Mytilus edulis: one gene and its partner. Each later gene encodes a partner of the first gene's protein in a complex. Links are inferred from orthologs where the notes say so. Each region holds a gene or a part of one and is shown on either strand. Other genes may lie near its edges.

The links. Proteins that work in one complex are often made in the same cells at the same time.
Region 2: ragulator complex protein LAMTOR4-like (region 1) and ragulator complex protein LAMTOR3-like share a complex: the UniProt entries of both Drosophila melanogaster proteins name them as parts of the ragulator complex. The link is inferred for Mytilus edulis from reciprocal best matches to the Drosophila melanogaster genes Lamtor4 and Lamtor3.

Annotation. Positions count from the first base shown.
Region 1 is NC_092346.1:47,804,841-47,813,043, forward strand, and holds the start of ragulator complex protein LAMTOR4-like, read left to right. Parts: upstream 1-4,351; 5' UTR 4,352-4,482; intron 4,483-6,610; 5' UTR 6,611-6,625; coding exon 6,626-6,706; intron 6,707-7,741; coding exon 7,742-7,859; intron 7,860-8,203. Other genes in the region: UV radiation resistance-associated protein-like, read right to left, coding at 209-243, 1,446-1,566, 3,994-4,047. UniProt on the Drosophila melanogaster protein: Regulator of the TOR pathway, a signaling cascade that promotes cell growth in response to growth factors, energy levels, and amino acids. As part of the Ragulator complex, may activate the TOR signaling cascade in response to amino acids.
Region 2 is NC_092352.1:54,988,308-54,996,605, reverse strand, and holds the start of ragulator complex protein LAMTOR3-like, read left to right. Parts: upstream 1-4,628; 5' UTR 4,629-4,685; coding exon 4,686-4,694; intron 4,695-8,298. UniProt on the Drosophila melanogaster protein: Regulator of the TOR pathway, a signaling cascade that promotes cell growth in response to growth factors, energy levels, and amino acids. As part of the Ragulator complex, may activate the TOR signaling cascade in response to amino acids.

The DNA of each region.
Region 1 (8,203 bases):
TTAGCAAAAAATACATTGGAAATCATCATTTAGGGGCAACAACTCTAAGAAGGATTAATTTGCAGGTTATAGCAATTACTACATATTTTGTCATATACATTTGTTCTTATAATATGAATAATAATTCAATGTACTTTTTCAAATCAACAGCAAGTTTTCTTGATAATGATAAGCTATAATCTTACAAACATTTTGCCGAGTTACTCACCAGAGATCCCTGTATCTTTTCACTTGTATAAAATGCTAAAAAGAAAATTTTATGATGCAATTACATGTACTATGAAAAATAAGTAGATTTCAGTTATTTTAAATAACTGAAATCAACTATTGTCAGCCTTGTACTTTTATCATGTTTATAGCAGATAACAAAATACTTTCTAATATAATTGAAAAGAAACCCCACAAAGGTATCACAATGTGGCTGATATTTAACACAACAGTCTCATTTCATCCATTAGCAAAATTAGATGCATACTCACTGTATGAATACATCAAAATAATGGGAAAGTGTGCTACATGTTGCAATAAAATTTAGAATGGAAACAGGGAATGTGTCAAAAAGACTGACTCAAACAAAGAGCAGAAGTCTACAGAAATCTTTTGCAAAGAATTTCTCTCAAACCAGTGCTAGGGACCGTCTATTACTTGCTGTGCAGTGAGTTGTTTTTTTGCTTCATGTTAAAGGCCTCACATAGACTTAAAGATGAAGAACATCAATAAAAGCCTGTTTCTTTGCTTTTTGTGTTTTTTTAGACTAATTAATAATAAGCATGTACTGCTTTTTAGGTCATGGATTATTACCTCATATATCTTTTGTTTATCTTTTTTATAATGAAAGTCAATCTCTTACTTAAGGCTTAAGCATGTTATTTTTCTTGATTTCACTCCTTCTGTTCAGTCATTGCATTGCTATTGCTTGATTTATACCCCACATATTGTTTTGTTTTATATCATTTTTTGTTTCAGTTGGAAACTAAAATAAGTAGTTAATCAAGTTAATTCCACAAACTCTAGGAGGGCTGGATAGGGTTTACAGCATCTAGGTGCTAAGGTGGGGATAGGACCTTTATCAGGACTCCGGGATCAGGTGTTTTTAAGCTCAGGATTTCGGGATTGACCCTTTAAGGATTCAGGAATTCTTTTTTTCGAATTTCAGGATGTAGGGATTTAAATTTATCAAAATTTGTGACCTCATTATTTCGTGTTTTTAAGCCTGGGATTTCAGGATCAGAACCCTATCTACCACCGTGACCCCTCAATCTAAAATAATGAGTAATAACTACAGAAAACTGGTCCTAAAAAAAAGAGAAAAATATGACAAAAATATAGTGAATAGAGAAAAATGGCCGAAACATTCAAAGAATGCATGAATGAAGACTTCCCCATCCAAACCTTTTATGTTACAATAAGTTATATTAATTCAAGACCATGGTATAACACTGTACCTGGAACATTTCTGTCTATATGTAGAGTGAAGTAGGACTGTAGATTGGTCAAGTCTTTTCCTTTGTGTCCTGGCCAACATAAATTTCTTAAAGCTAGACATCTTAAATGTCTTAGTCTTCTCTGAAAATAACAATATTGAAATTAACAACATATAGCTTTCTGTCATGTCTTTCCAGCCACTGACTATCTGTCCTTTGTTGACCAGCAAAGACCAGTTTTTATTGCAATGTCTTGTCCAAATTTTTAATAGACCAGTATTTCCTTTTATTTACTGAACTAAGGCCTATTCACTACTAGTATTGACTATTTTTTCCAACCTTGTTATAAATATGAAGTTATGGATTTCAAGCTTTATTTTACTTGTGATGTCATAGATAAATGTCAACTGTACCCTATTCATACTGAAACATTCATTCTTATTTTTATTCTGTAATTGATTTACTTGTATAATTTTTCTTAAGGTTTATGTACCCTTCTGTAGCCATTTTTGTACGAACTTTTCAAACTTCAATTGTATCAAAACTACAGATATAATGAATAATAGAGATAGGTCATTTTGTACATATTCCAAGGGGAAACTTGATGCAAAGCATTATTTTTTACTGTTCCATTGCATTTAATAGAAAAAGAGGACTTTGTGGCAAATAAATCAAGATTTTTATAGAAAATCCACAGCCTTTATCCTTCATGTCCTTGTACTCTCATATTTGGCAATTTGATGACTGATAGATATAGGATTATTGCATGCAGTGCTAGCATTGATTTCCTTAAAACAAGTTTATAAATGTAGTTATTGGTTAAGACAAGTATAAATATGGCCAAAATCAAGTACACCTTTTAGGGTGCGCTCGACTTTAGTGACTTAGCACGAGGTGTTTTGGAATTTACAGGTTACTTAGAACTTTTTGTAAAAAATAAACACTAGCACATCATAGAAAATCAAGTGAGTAATTTATGTTTCAAATTTTATAACAAAAATCTCTGTATTAAAGGCTGTGGATTTTCTATAAAAATCTTGATTTATTTGCCACAAAGTCCTCTTTTTCTATCAAATGCAATGAAACAGTAAACAATAATGCTTTACATCAAGTTTCCCCTTGGAACATGTACTAAATGGCCTATCTCTATTATTTATTATATCTTTAGTTTTGATACAATTGAGGTTTGAAAAATTCGTACAAAAATGGCTACAGAAGGGTACATAAACCTTAATGTTATTTTTTTAAATAAAATGTTACCCTCAGTACTTTGTAGACGTCATGGTATAGCTGTAGCCCAAATAATTATGAGACATTGACGTCTTGAAAGGCTATTTTGAATTTTTGCTTTGACGCCTTCCTGTGACGTAAGGCGTCACAGAAGAAAATATAATAGCCTTTCAAGACATCATACAACGTCATAATTATTTCGACTAGATACATGTATAGCTGCAGGACCATGGATCTTAGTCTCTTAGATCCTTATGATATTTTTTTGACAATTTGCACCTACATGTATGTTAAATATATATTTTAAATAAATCAAATCAGAAGGACCTCAGAGCTACGGTTCCGAAGCTAGATTTATATCGGAATAAAATGGAATGAAGAATAGCTGAAAGAAATATTTTTGGGAAGAGTCCAAATATTTATGATGTCTTGGAAAGCTATTTCAAATTTTTTACTTTGACACCTTCCTGTCAATGTTAGGAGCAAAGAAAACATATAATAGCCTTTCAAGATGTCATAATAATTTATTTGGACTATATACTTCATTTACTTTTAGCTAAATTATTATGTACACACTTTGCACAACCAGATGCACATTCACATGAGCCATGTCAGATTATTCGTATGAAAAGTCGCATAAGAAATTGGAAACCAAAATGTTTGTATCGTCGGTGTCGGTAATTATTTGAATATTGTTTCATTATTTAGTTAAGGTTCATCATAACCTTTTGGCTAAAATGGCCGTATTTATACCCCAAATTTTACTCTGAGTACAGACTAACCTATACACCTGCAACAGTTTTAAGGGATGGCAGGAACTAGATATATAAATTTTAAATGCATTTTATGTTTCAGAAAATTATAAACTTTTCTAGATTTTGCTATCCATTTTTTTTCGTTCCTGCAGAAGGTGCAAAAATTAACTAAGTAGTGAAAACGATTGAGAAGCTCCCCTCATATAATCAATGTTGTGAGTAGTATTGATTTAAATGGACAATAGATGGACAATAGACACCTGTAAACAATAGGTGATTTAACAGGTTTAAACTGTGTAACTGAGTGGACCGTATCAAACGAAACTCGGGTGTTTGTTTATTTTGCTATCTTCTGCAGACTGGAAAAAAATGAACATCAAAATCCAGGTAAGTTTATAATTTTCTGAAACGTAGACTTCATATAACTTTTATATATCTAGTTCCTGCCATGCCTTAAAATTTTCCTGGATGTACCAGTTTGTCTGTACTCATAGTAATTTTGGAGGTGTAAACACGGCCATATTTTTCAATTCCTTATGATGAACCTTAATTTGCAGCCAGAGCCTGTTTTTCAAATAAATTACCTGGTATGACGATAATTCGAAGTAGTTTCTGGCTACTTTAGAAGAGTTTTCCATGTTACAATATGATAACTACATTATTGATAAGGACTCGCTTGTGTTTATGCTTTTAGAGACGTATTTGTCAGTCTAGGGGAGTTTTCGCTTTCGGAAATTTACTCCGTCCACCATTTTAAACATCTCGATTTTGATCATGTGACCCAATGTTCTCCGATTGATTTCGCTAAATTGAAGATTGCTTGCACATATTTAGGGCTAAACAATCATTTAAAATCATCCCTTGATGTCTTACTACACTGGTAACGAAATCAAAACAATCAAATATACAAATAGTTGAAGATTTTTCGATTCCGAAGACGAGACTACAGATCATGTGATCGAATAAATTATCTACCGGAAGTTTAATAAGCAGACAGCAAACAGGTGCCCTAAGTTGATAAAAGTTATATTGTTTGAAACAACAATGAACTATAACATCATCTTTTTATAAAAGTAAATATATTGTTATGAGAAACAGTCATATATCTTTTATTCAGCAATCAGTTGACTATTGTAAAACTTTAAAGATAAACTCAATTGACAATAAATAAATAATATATAAATTTTAATTGTAGTACAAATTTGTTCAATTGTATTACAGTGTAATGAACCCCCATACTGCCATAGTCATATCACAGGCACTTGTTTATATCCATTGGAAGACCCACTATCAAAATATATTTACATAAATATACGTTGATAGTGGGTCTTCCAATGGATAGAAACAAGGGCCTGTGGCCATTATAATTACTGGATATCACACAGGTTCAAGAGCTCACCAGAGCTCATGTTTTCTCTGTTATTATGTATATATATGCCGACTCTAAATAAAATTTACTTACTTACTTACTTAGGTTCCTGTAAAATTTTGTTGTCATAAAACAAAATATCTGACACCACAAAATTAATAGAAAAGTGATTGTTGTATGACATCAAAAGTTCAAGCAGCCGTGTCAGCCAAGAATTGTGATAAGGAGTATTGATTAATAAATCCGTGCATTTATACAAATACAGTGGCGTCTCCAGTGTCTGCGTGGCTGGTGATATCGCCCAAACTTGATTATCTCATATCTGCAATGTATTAGACATAGAATAGGTCTTGTTATTGTTTTAGTCTTCCAAAGGGACAGAAAATATTAAAATCAATACATGTAATAAGTTCATGAGTAAATTTATTACTGGAATCCTATAGCTACAATTATAACCATATTTAGCCAATTTCCCATAAAAAAAATTACATCATCAAATAAAAGTTGTTTTTGTTTAAATCAAATTTAGATTAGATCTGTCAAAACAAATTTTGCTCTGCAGCATTGACAATCTGGTTCAAACTTGATTGTATTTCGTCATATAAATCATGCCTTTATTAAAATAAATATGCAGTAACTCACCAGCCATTTGTGGAACTCTCATAACAGAGTTTTTACTAATTTTGGACCGTCACATTTTCAGGGTCCCAAAGTAAGCCTATCCTTCAGAAAAAAACCTGAGTATTCCGACACACTGCTTAATCCAACATTATTTTTCTGTATCCCCAATTACACAGGTTACATAGTAATGTGAAGTCATACGTAAGTCATAGGTGCACAGATATTAATAATTCGCTTCACCAGTATTCATGGTATTGGCAGTAATTAATGCAGTTTTCAACATAAAAAGTCTCATTTAGAAAATCTAAGAGTAGAATTTTTATGACAAAATAATTCTGAAGTCTTGGAAAGCTCTAGTCAGTAGTCGGTACCCAGGAAAAAAAACATATATACAAAAATGGACCACTGATGAATGTCTTCTTCAAACTAAGCAAATGATATCTAATACACTTAATCCATTTTGGAATTCTGTGTTTGAAGCAAGGATGGCGAAATCAGAAAATCTCCATTACAGATTAGTGGTCACTCTGATATTTCTACGTCCCATTGTTACATTAAATTGAACTGAGAATGGAAACGGTGTATGCAATAGATAGACATCAACACAATCAAAAAGCTGAAACAGCCCAAGGCCACTATAAATAGCTAGATGTAATGCAGCAAAACAAAATGCAGTACCTGTAGAAAGCCATAGCTGGCCCCTAAACAATGATATATACTAGTTCAACACAAATGAAAACCACACTAAGGCCAAAAGAACAATATATGTGTTTCCTATATTACATGATCATCTTTGAAAAAAGTAGGGTAGGTAAATGTAGGTAGGGACTTATTTTTATTTTACCATTTTTTTTTCTCACATAGAGTCTATGGGAGGAACATTCTGCTTTAACAGTGCATATTGGAAAAAAATACACAAAAAAACGGGTACATAGGCTATTTTTTTAATTTGGCATAAACTTACAAAACATATAAATGAACCAAAAATTGTAATCCAATCTAATTAGTGATATTAGTAAGTAAGGATAATAAACTAATACTATTCATGCTTAATTAAGGACACAGTCTTAGCAATAATATAAATTGATAACTGATATTTTTCTACAACTTGGTAAGAAGTAGCACACAAAACAGAGTCCTTGAATAGTATCTCTTTGTATAATGACCACTAGTTTAGTGACAATTAAAACATGTACATCATATTATTTCAGATCAGAAAATAGAAAATGACCACTGCACAAGGAATAGACAAGATTCATGACTCTCATGGTTACCTGGTGCTAACTGATGATGGGGCTGTTCTAAGTGTGAGTTTTTTTGTAGTATTGGTACATGCATATATATTTGTTTTGCTTTTGTTGGAAAAAATTCTAACTACTAATTAAAGAAAAGAATAAAAAAATACATTGCATATTCGTTAGGAAAACAATTTTAACAGTACAAGTTTTAATCTTCCCTCATTTTTGTCCATCCTGCAACTTTTGTTGCAGAAAACTCAACATAGGGATAGTGATCCAGCGGCGGCGGCTAAAAGCTTTATATTTTAGTAGGTGGAAGATCTGGATGCTTCATACTTGGTATATGGATGCCTCATGTTGCAAAGTTTCCGTCAGTCACATGTCCACTGTCCATGACCTCATTTTAATGGTTCAGTGACTACTTGAAAAAAAGTTTAGATATTTTGTAAAGTTAAATTCTCTCTTATTATAAGTAAAAGAATAACTATATTTAGTATGTGCGTACCTCGCAAGGTCCTCATGCACGTCAGACAGTTTTCACTTGACCTCAACCTCATTTCATGGATCAGTGAACAAGGTTAAGTTTTGGTGGTCAAGTCCATAGATCTTTTAAAATAATGTTTGTGCAGACATTTCACATTTCTCATTTTAATATCAACTTATCAAGTGTGTCCACGTATGCACTCTATGTTTCCTGGTCCTATATTTGGTTGAAATCCAGACGATATTGTCAAATTTCTCGAAAATCTCTTATCTTGACCTTTTTGAGATATTAAAATCAACGTTTTAGAATTAAACTTTGACAAAAATAGCACCATTTAACTTTCTCATATATGTCTTAAAGCCAACTTAAAACAGTTTTTGTCTTGTAACATTGAACTTTATAATCATGGCCAAATATGGCCCTTACCGAACCTACTCCTTTATCAAAGATTAAGATATATTGAAGTGATGTGCACCTGCTATTATGAAATTGGGGAAACGGAAGAGTGGGGGGGGGGATGGTGGTGACAGTTGAATATGCTTGAAATATTTGCATGTGGATGTATAACTATCAATCAATCATTTCAACATTTCAAAGGTATATTATATTATCAATTTTAGTCAGGAGGAGACTTACAAAATGCAGAATCTATAGCTGAAAAAGTTCTGAAGCTAGTTCATACAGCAAACAGAATTCAAGTTACTTCAGACAAGAGAGATACTTTTAAAAGAATTTCAGGTATATACTGCTTAAAAGCTAGTTTAGATTTATCAAACACTCAGTAATGTATTTACTGTATTATGTAGGTTGTAAAGGCATAAAGTGCCAGTGCTATGAAATACTGCCAACACTTGTTGTTTGTTATCCATCATCTGCAAGCTTTTCACATTTTCTGGAATTGTTTAAATTGTTGAATATAACACTTATGTTCAATTATTTTTTTGTCTGATATGTCATTTCCGAGTTTGGGAATTTTGACTGTCAAATGAATTAAAAGCATTTTTTTTCAAATGCTATGCACTATCTCTTGTATGCTTGGCTCAAATTTTAGCATACTCAACTCTTTCTGAAAGTAGACTCCC
Region 2 (8,298 bases), on another chromosome or scaffold:
TAAAGTACATAGACATAACGTCAAATTTAAACCAAAAATACGAAATTTCAAGCTTTAGTTATTCTGCAGTTTAAACCAATCCTACGATTTTTCTATAAAAATCAGATGTTTTTAAGGTATTATTTTCCTTTCTTTTGATATATAATTTTCATGGGGTTACCCAACTCCCTTTTTATATATCAGTCGTTGAAAGGGTATGACATGTTCCGTGATAGAGGGATCAGAAAATGCATGTCATTTGTGTTGTTTGCGTGCGCATGGTATATAAAATTTCAATATACATTAATTCAATTTATTTTACCTAGAACATTAATTAAGAATTGAATGCTGCTTTTTGTAAATTTATTGGGGTGTAAAAGCGTTGACCGAAGTACATTTTGTATGAAGCGCGGAAGCGCTTCATACTAAAAATGTGCGCACGGTCAACGCTTTTACAACCCTATAAAGTTACAAAAAGAAGCATTCAATACTTATAATTACATTTTTTTAGCTAGAATCATGAAAACACGTTTTTTATCAAGTCTTTATATAATTTACCTGTGCACTTTATTGTGGGACCTCGTGTCATCGTGAATGATAAATGTTATTGTCTCATACAATTGTTTCAGGAATAGCACGTGATGTGCAGTTAGCCAATCAGAATAACGTATTATAATGAAACATACATCTAATGTAATTATTTAGGTATAAAAAAAAAAAAATTCTTTGATCAGTAGCAACTTATTTTGCCGACACGGGACGTTTGCGTTTTTGATACAACATTGATAATATTTTATGGGCATTTTCGCTTCAATTTTATGGACGTTTACGCTCAATTAAGGGCATACGCTACAGTTTTGATCCCGTATTTAAGTTTGATGAAAATTTATATATAGGCTAATTTTTTTTGCCTGATTAAATCAAATATGTAATAAAAAATATACCTTTATATGCTACTTTTTGAGTTAAATGAGGTCGAAATTTTGTATATTTGCTCAAAATTCGGATTTGTGGCCGTATTTTCCCTTTCGAAAGAAAGCCATATTTTTTTTTTTTTAAAAGATAAACACAAATTGTTTTTTGTTAAATAATTTGTAATTTCTGTATTTTATAAATATCCTAAAAACTTATGAATTTTTTATTAAGAAATAACTCATATTTATCAAATGGTCATGAATTGAGAAAAAAAAACGTATTTTTTTGCTGTATATTTATCAACATTAAAAAAAATGCACTATTTACAGTTTTATAAAATTTGGTTCACATAATCTCCCTGCAAAATGAAACAATATGTCGTTTTAAAAAATAGGAGTCCATGCACTCGTTTTCAAATTAAATCAGTTTGAATGATAAAAATCAGTCGAAAAATGCATCTTTTCCCGGTATGTCACAGTTTGACGTCGCGAAAATAACAGTTTACGTTAGCAACGTCATGATCTCCACTGTAACTGTATCGTATGCCCTTAAAAAATAAAATTCACTTAAACAAAAGAATATTTGCGGTTTATAAACATAAGATTTGATATCACTTATACTGAGTTAATGTAGTTGGCGGATGCTGTTCAAAAGTAAAATCACAAAAATACTGAACTCAGAGGAAAATCAATTCGGAAAGTCCATAATCACATGGCAAAATCAAAAACCAAAACGCATCAAAAACGAATGGACAAGAACTGTCATATTCCTGACTTGGTACATGCATTTTCAAATGTAGAAAATGGTGGATTGAACCTGGTTTTATAGCTAGCTAAACCTCTCACTTGTATGACAGTCGCATCAAATTCCATTACATCATCGTCACCGATGCGTGAAAAATACTCTTCAAAGACACAAAAACATAAAAGATACATTAACGGGGTGATAAAATAAAATATAATATTACATATTACCAAGTAACTACCAATGATGACCGATTTATATTAAAGAAATACCACAGTATGCAGAAATGTTTAAAGTTTTTATTGTTAATTTCGCAATGATATTTTTCAGGCTCATCTTAATTTTCTGACAAGGTGAACAAAAAAGAAAAAAATATTTCTGGAAAGGTTTGTTTTGCTTCGGTTTCTAACCAAACTGAAATCGTAAAAATTTGTTATTCAACCAATAGAAAATGAAAACTAACCTCACGAAAATCATGGCCAAATATACAATAAAAAAATCACACATTTCTACATCTTACGGTATTCATTTTATAAAGAAATGCTCATAAAAAGTACTTGGTAATACATTTTTTGAAAAATATCGATTTAAGTTGAAATATTTTTGATTGGAAACTCACTTTTGTCCACCATCTGTACTAGGTTACAGAAATCTAACATAAATACCTGTGCACTAATGGCCGAGCTTTTCATGAATTGAATTGGGATATTGTTTGCTACATTCGAATGATGCATTCGTTAAATTCTGAAACCTAGGTATGCCTCGAACCTTATTGTTCCCATCTCAAACACGCCTAAATTTGTCGTGAATGAAAAATGATAATTCTGTTTTCATATATTTTTTTTATAAATAAAAAGCGCAAACGCACCGTCGGTTTATCAAACTGTTTAAAAGATCACCTAGAGGGACGATAGATACCAGAGGGACAGACAAACTCATAAATCTAAAATAAACTGACAACGCCATGGCTAAAAAGGAAAAGGACAAACAGACAAACAATAGTAGACATGACACAATATAGAAAACTAAAGAATAAACATCACGAACTCCACCAAAAACTAAGGGTGATCTCAGGTGCCCCGGAAGAGTAAGAAGATTCTGCTCCACATGTGGCACCCGTCGTGTTACTTATGAGATAACAAATCCGGTAAATAGTCTAATTCGGTAGGTCACAATCATGAAAGGGGAGGGGATTGTAGTTATGACGTAATGAACATATCCGATATCATTTGTGAAACGGTTATTCCATAACGGACAACCAACTCGTGATGGCGTCCGTAAAATTTACGAAGTGATGATTTCAACTTCACCATTTGAAACTCTTGATTTAATAGCTTCCTTGTGAGCAACAACCCTCTATCAAGAAAATCATGATAGGAAATGCAAGCACGGGAATATCGTATCAATTGGGAGATATATAAACCGTATGCAGGCGCTTCTGGAATGTTGCTACATAGAAATGGAAAGTTCACAATTGGAAAGCTGAAATCATCTCTTTTTTCGTAAAGTTTTGTTTTCAATTGACCCTCATTGTCAATTTCTAGATGTAAGTCAAGATATGAGGCCGACTTAACTGTATCTGTTGTATCCTTTATCTCTAGTAGAATTGATAGATGCGTTCAACATAGTCACAAAATTTTGCTTTGAGTGAAAGAACATCATCTTTATAGCGGAAAGTAGAGTTAAAGTCTTTCTTCCTAAGAAGTTCCTGTATGAATTCAGCCACATAATAATAAAGAAAAAAGTCGACAAGAAGAGGGGCACAATTCGTTCCCATTGGAATGCCGATAGTTTGTTGGAAATCACATCCTACGAACGTAACAAATATATTGTCAATCAAGAAATCAAGCATCTTGATAATGTCAGTTTCAGATTTTTTTTGTTTGAATCAGAGTGATCCTTTACAAAGTAGGATTTATCCCTTCCTAAGACAAGGTACTTGTATCTTCGTTGCTTGGCCATTCTTTTTTATGAAACAAAGCAATATCAACTCTTTCAATTTGTCTTTTAGTTTGGAATGAGGAATACTTGTATAAAGTGTATAAAAATATAATGTTTTAATACTATTACAAAATGAAAGAGAGTTAGATTGTGTGTACTCCAAAAGATCTTTGAAATTTTTAAGTATCCACATCTGATTCACGCCACCTCTAGAATAGGCAGTTTCACAACTTAGTAAAGTGGACAAGTAAAAAAATATATGAAAAATAACTGCTAAAAGTAAAAATAATAATTTTCCTTTAATTGTATGTTAAAAGTCTTAAACTGTAAACTTCCCATGTAAAAGTCAACATAAAACCTGTAAACCTCCTTTATAAAAACACATGAAGACTTAAAAAATGTATATAGTGTATCTAATGTTGTTGTGTTACGATTGTTAATTTATTCTTCAATTATTTTTTTGGTGGTGGAACTGTTCGACATACAAAGTATGGTTACCCTATAAAGGGTGTAAAGATCCAGAGAAGAAGAAGGACATGTCCATAGTTTTGGGGCGCAAAACACGCAAAAGTCCTGAGATAAAATTTCCTCGATTATTGTTTTAAAGTCCAACACTTGAATTTTTCACTTTGTCATTGGTTAGAACAGGCGAATATATAAAACAATTAATGCATAGCCCACTTTTGCAATCCAGTATTTTTCATTTTAAAAAAAATGCAGATTCAGGCGGCTATGCCCTCCCCTCCCCCTTGCATGGTAAAAATGTGGTTGGTTATACAGTGAATCACTGAAGCATTAGTGTAGTGGGTCCCCTCTTATGGCAGTTATTGGCACTGTGCCTCCTAACAAAATGTCGGTATGGATCCGCCATTGTTAGATTTTGCTTTTCTTATCTTTTGGCTAAATTTCATCATGGAAAATTCACAAATGCTTATAATCAAAATAAGTTATAATAAAATGGAAACAAAATAACAAAAGAAAGCTGCACGACAACATTTTGGAAAATATATTTGTCCGTTGCTGTGCTATACTTTTTAAAGTGATTTTGAAGTTTTAAGATTTACCATTAAAAGCTCTTCACTGTGAAAACAGAAACAGTGTACATCATGACAGACGTAAGATTTTATTTTATTTTTTAGTTTATTCTCTACTATCAGACACATTGTTTATTGAATTTTAAAAGAAATCAGGATCGTGAGTTCAACTGTGAAAAAGATTTCATACCCAAATGCCAGGCCTAACTGTCGTTTTGCCGCATAGCGAAAACTTCAACTTGAAAATTATGGGAGGGTCTTTTCAGATGAAGTTCCTTTATCTTCCAAATTATACTGGAACTACTCTACTTAGATAGGTACTACATGATGAGCTCCCGAAGTTTAATAGTGTATGTTGTTTTTTTAATCTATAATCTGGTGTTTTTTATCCAATTATGAATACAACCTGTTACCTGTTACCTAATCTTTATCTTCCTCCTCTAGCAGGAGCTTCGCTTTTATAGCGTAATTCTTATTTGCAGCCTTATTTGCACCCTATCCCTTACACACTGGGCACTCATAAAATCAGTATACGTAGTTATTATAATGTATAACAGTAACATATATACAGCATGCGAACTAATCCGTCACCATGTAAACAAGGTTAACTATATATATATTACACAGTCCAATCGTTCATAGCTGGTTCACTATTTATATCTCCATATCACATAGGCTTAACAATTCTACATATATAGCACTCCTGCCCTCACATTAGCATTTACTGTTCAAACACTATCCTCATTATCTTTAAATCTAAAAACTAGTTCAAGTGTCAAGGAATTCCCAAATAAAGATTATTTTTTTCTGTCCTTATCCATGTTATCATGGTTGATAAAGTTGTTAAAAGAATCAGAAAATGTGCTTCCTGATAAGTATATTATTATTGAATCCTGTTTTCATGCATTGCCAGGGGTCTACGACCTTCCACTGTTGCAATTGGACTATTGTTTCAGTTACTAGCTATGCCAGACGGACCTTCGATTAAAATAAAATAAAAACTAAACTTTGCTGTCCTTTTTAACCATCAGTATCTTAATTTCAAAACCATATTATGATTGAAATTGAGATAATTAAATGTTTCAAGCAAAAGCCTTGAAGATGATGAACGTCATCATGGTCATTTACGTGAACAAAACAAAAGAAATAGAAATGAAGATCTCACTATGCATGTTATAGACTAAAAGAAGATTTTGAAAATTAGGGAGTGATATAATAATTTAAGCCCTGTTAGATCAACTATATTTTGATGAATTGACTGGTCTAATGTCGTGTACATACTGCCTACAGTTTTCATTCGTTAAGATAAAGAAAGTGCACTTGAACAGTCTTCACGATGAACTGTTAAATCTACAGGCCAGGAGCTCAATTTTTGAAATTTTTTAGTGAGATTTTGTTGGCCTGCAGATATGATTTTTACAGGCCCAAGAGCAATTTTACAAGCCTGGGCTGCCAGGGCTGCCCCTCAGCGAGAAGACTGCTTGAAGGGTTACAAAAAATCATAAAATAGACCCAATAATAATACAAAAATTGACAACCCAGCATTTATCTGGTTTAAAGCAGTGGATCCATGAGAGTGACCCAAATTTTAAGTCTTAAGCCTTACCATGCTTAATTGTTATCAGCAATTGTCTAAATTTCGAGTATTTGCAAAAATATGCAAATGATATGCAAATGAGCTGTACCCTGATGCTGATACATACTTATAACAATAAATCTAAGATAGGGGATCGCAGGGTGGGGTAGGGGGGAATTTGCCCCAAAGTTGGTCCTCAGGTGCAAAAAGCGTCTATTTTGACGTTTTTTTTTTCTTTTTCTCGACCTGTAAGTCCAAGGGATGCTAATACATGTAATAGATGCATCCATCTGTAGTTTTTATGTAGAGTGGACCCCAGTGAACACTTTTATCACAACAGTTGTTAGGTCGGAGTGAAACTGATCTGGGTTCATCAGTGTATAGAAGGTCATTTGCACCAAAATTCACAAAATTTCTGATTTTTTTCAATTTTGAACTTTAACTGGATTTGCAACCTGAAGTAGTCGTTTCCTAGGCGTATTTTGATAATAAACACAATCAGTCGTCTGGGCCTTTAGGTAAACAGTATTTGTCAAGGTTTCAGTCCTCTTAACTCCATGTTTCAGACCTCGAAGGTAAGCCCATCCCTCCAAAAAACCCAATTTTGTCCGATATCTAATTTTGAAGTTCGTATTTGAGCTCAAAATGAATATTAAAAGTGACAAACATGACAATCAGTAGTGTCAGATTGAGGAAACTTGCATACACTACGAATTAAATGGCATTATGATGACCTTCAAATGTATGGAGCGCCATTAATGCCTAAATAACGGTGGTCTGGATACGGCCGTAACATTACAGCCCCCGCACGACAAGGGTTAAGATTTATTGTCAAGCATGAAACATGGACAATTTATTCTCAAACAGCAATGTAAGCCTGATCAGTTAAATAGATGTAAGGTTCTTGCAAAAAAGGGAATCCCCTCAGTGACTATGAATTTATTCTTGAAATCCATAGCAAAAATGATGTTGATATTGGTTAGCACTACTTCAATATTTGAGGTTGAAAACTGTTTATAAGCTGGAAAGTTCATTTTATGAGAAACAAAATGAGTTTATGAGTTATGTAATATTTCTTATAAAAGTAGGACCTGGGATTTTGGTTGTGGACCTTTCACTTTTTTCACATTCAACCAAATGTTGATTTGAACCCCTGATGGGGTACATTGGCTTTCATCTGTCCCTCTATTACACATGTATGACACATTTTTCCAAGAAACTAAAATTCTGTTAGTATATATATAACACCTTGGTTCTTCTGGTTTTGAAATAAACATAGTGTGAAGTGTCAATTCCTTAGTCTTTAGAAGAGGGTCAAAAGATGCCAGAGGGACAGTCAAGCTAATAGATCAAAAATAAGCTGACACCGCTGTTACTAAAAAACAAAAAGACAAAGAGACAAATGATAGTTCAAAGACACAACATAGAAAACTAAAGACTAAGCAACACGAACCCCAGCAAAAGGGATGTGGGTGGAGGTTGATCTCAGATGCTCCAGAAGGGTAAGCAGATCAACCCACTTTCTTTGTCAATTTCTAGATGTCAGTCAAGATATGAGGCAGACTTAACTGTATCTTTTGTTTCCTTTATCTCTAGTTTGATGGGATAGAAGTCAACAACCTTCAGAGTTGGTTAAGTTATAGACTTATAGAGCAATAGCTCAAAGTACATCTTTGAAAATCTGTTTGAATTTTTTTTTGAAAAAGAAGGAAATGCAGAACTAGTATATATTTGTTTAGGGGCCAGTTGAAGGACGCCTCCGGGTGCGGGAATTTCTGGCTACATTGAAGACCTGTTGGTGACCTTCTGCTGTTGTTTTTTTCTATGGTCGGGTTGTTGTCTCTTTGGCACATTCCCCATTTCCATTCTCAATTTTAGACATAAGTTTTTATATAAAACAGTGTATGAATTTAAACTTACATAAGCTAGCTAGAAATCTAAACATTAAGAAGTTACACAGTTTGTACATTTGTAGGTGTGGACTTACTGAAAATAACTAGGGGGACGGCAAACTTCTTATAGTTACAAGCAAATTAATCTTTTCTATAGTCTTAATAGTCTCAGAGAAAGTCCGTCAATCCTCTTATATTTTTAAGGCCTCGCCTAGGG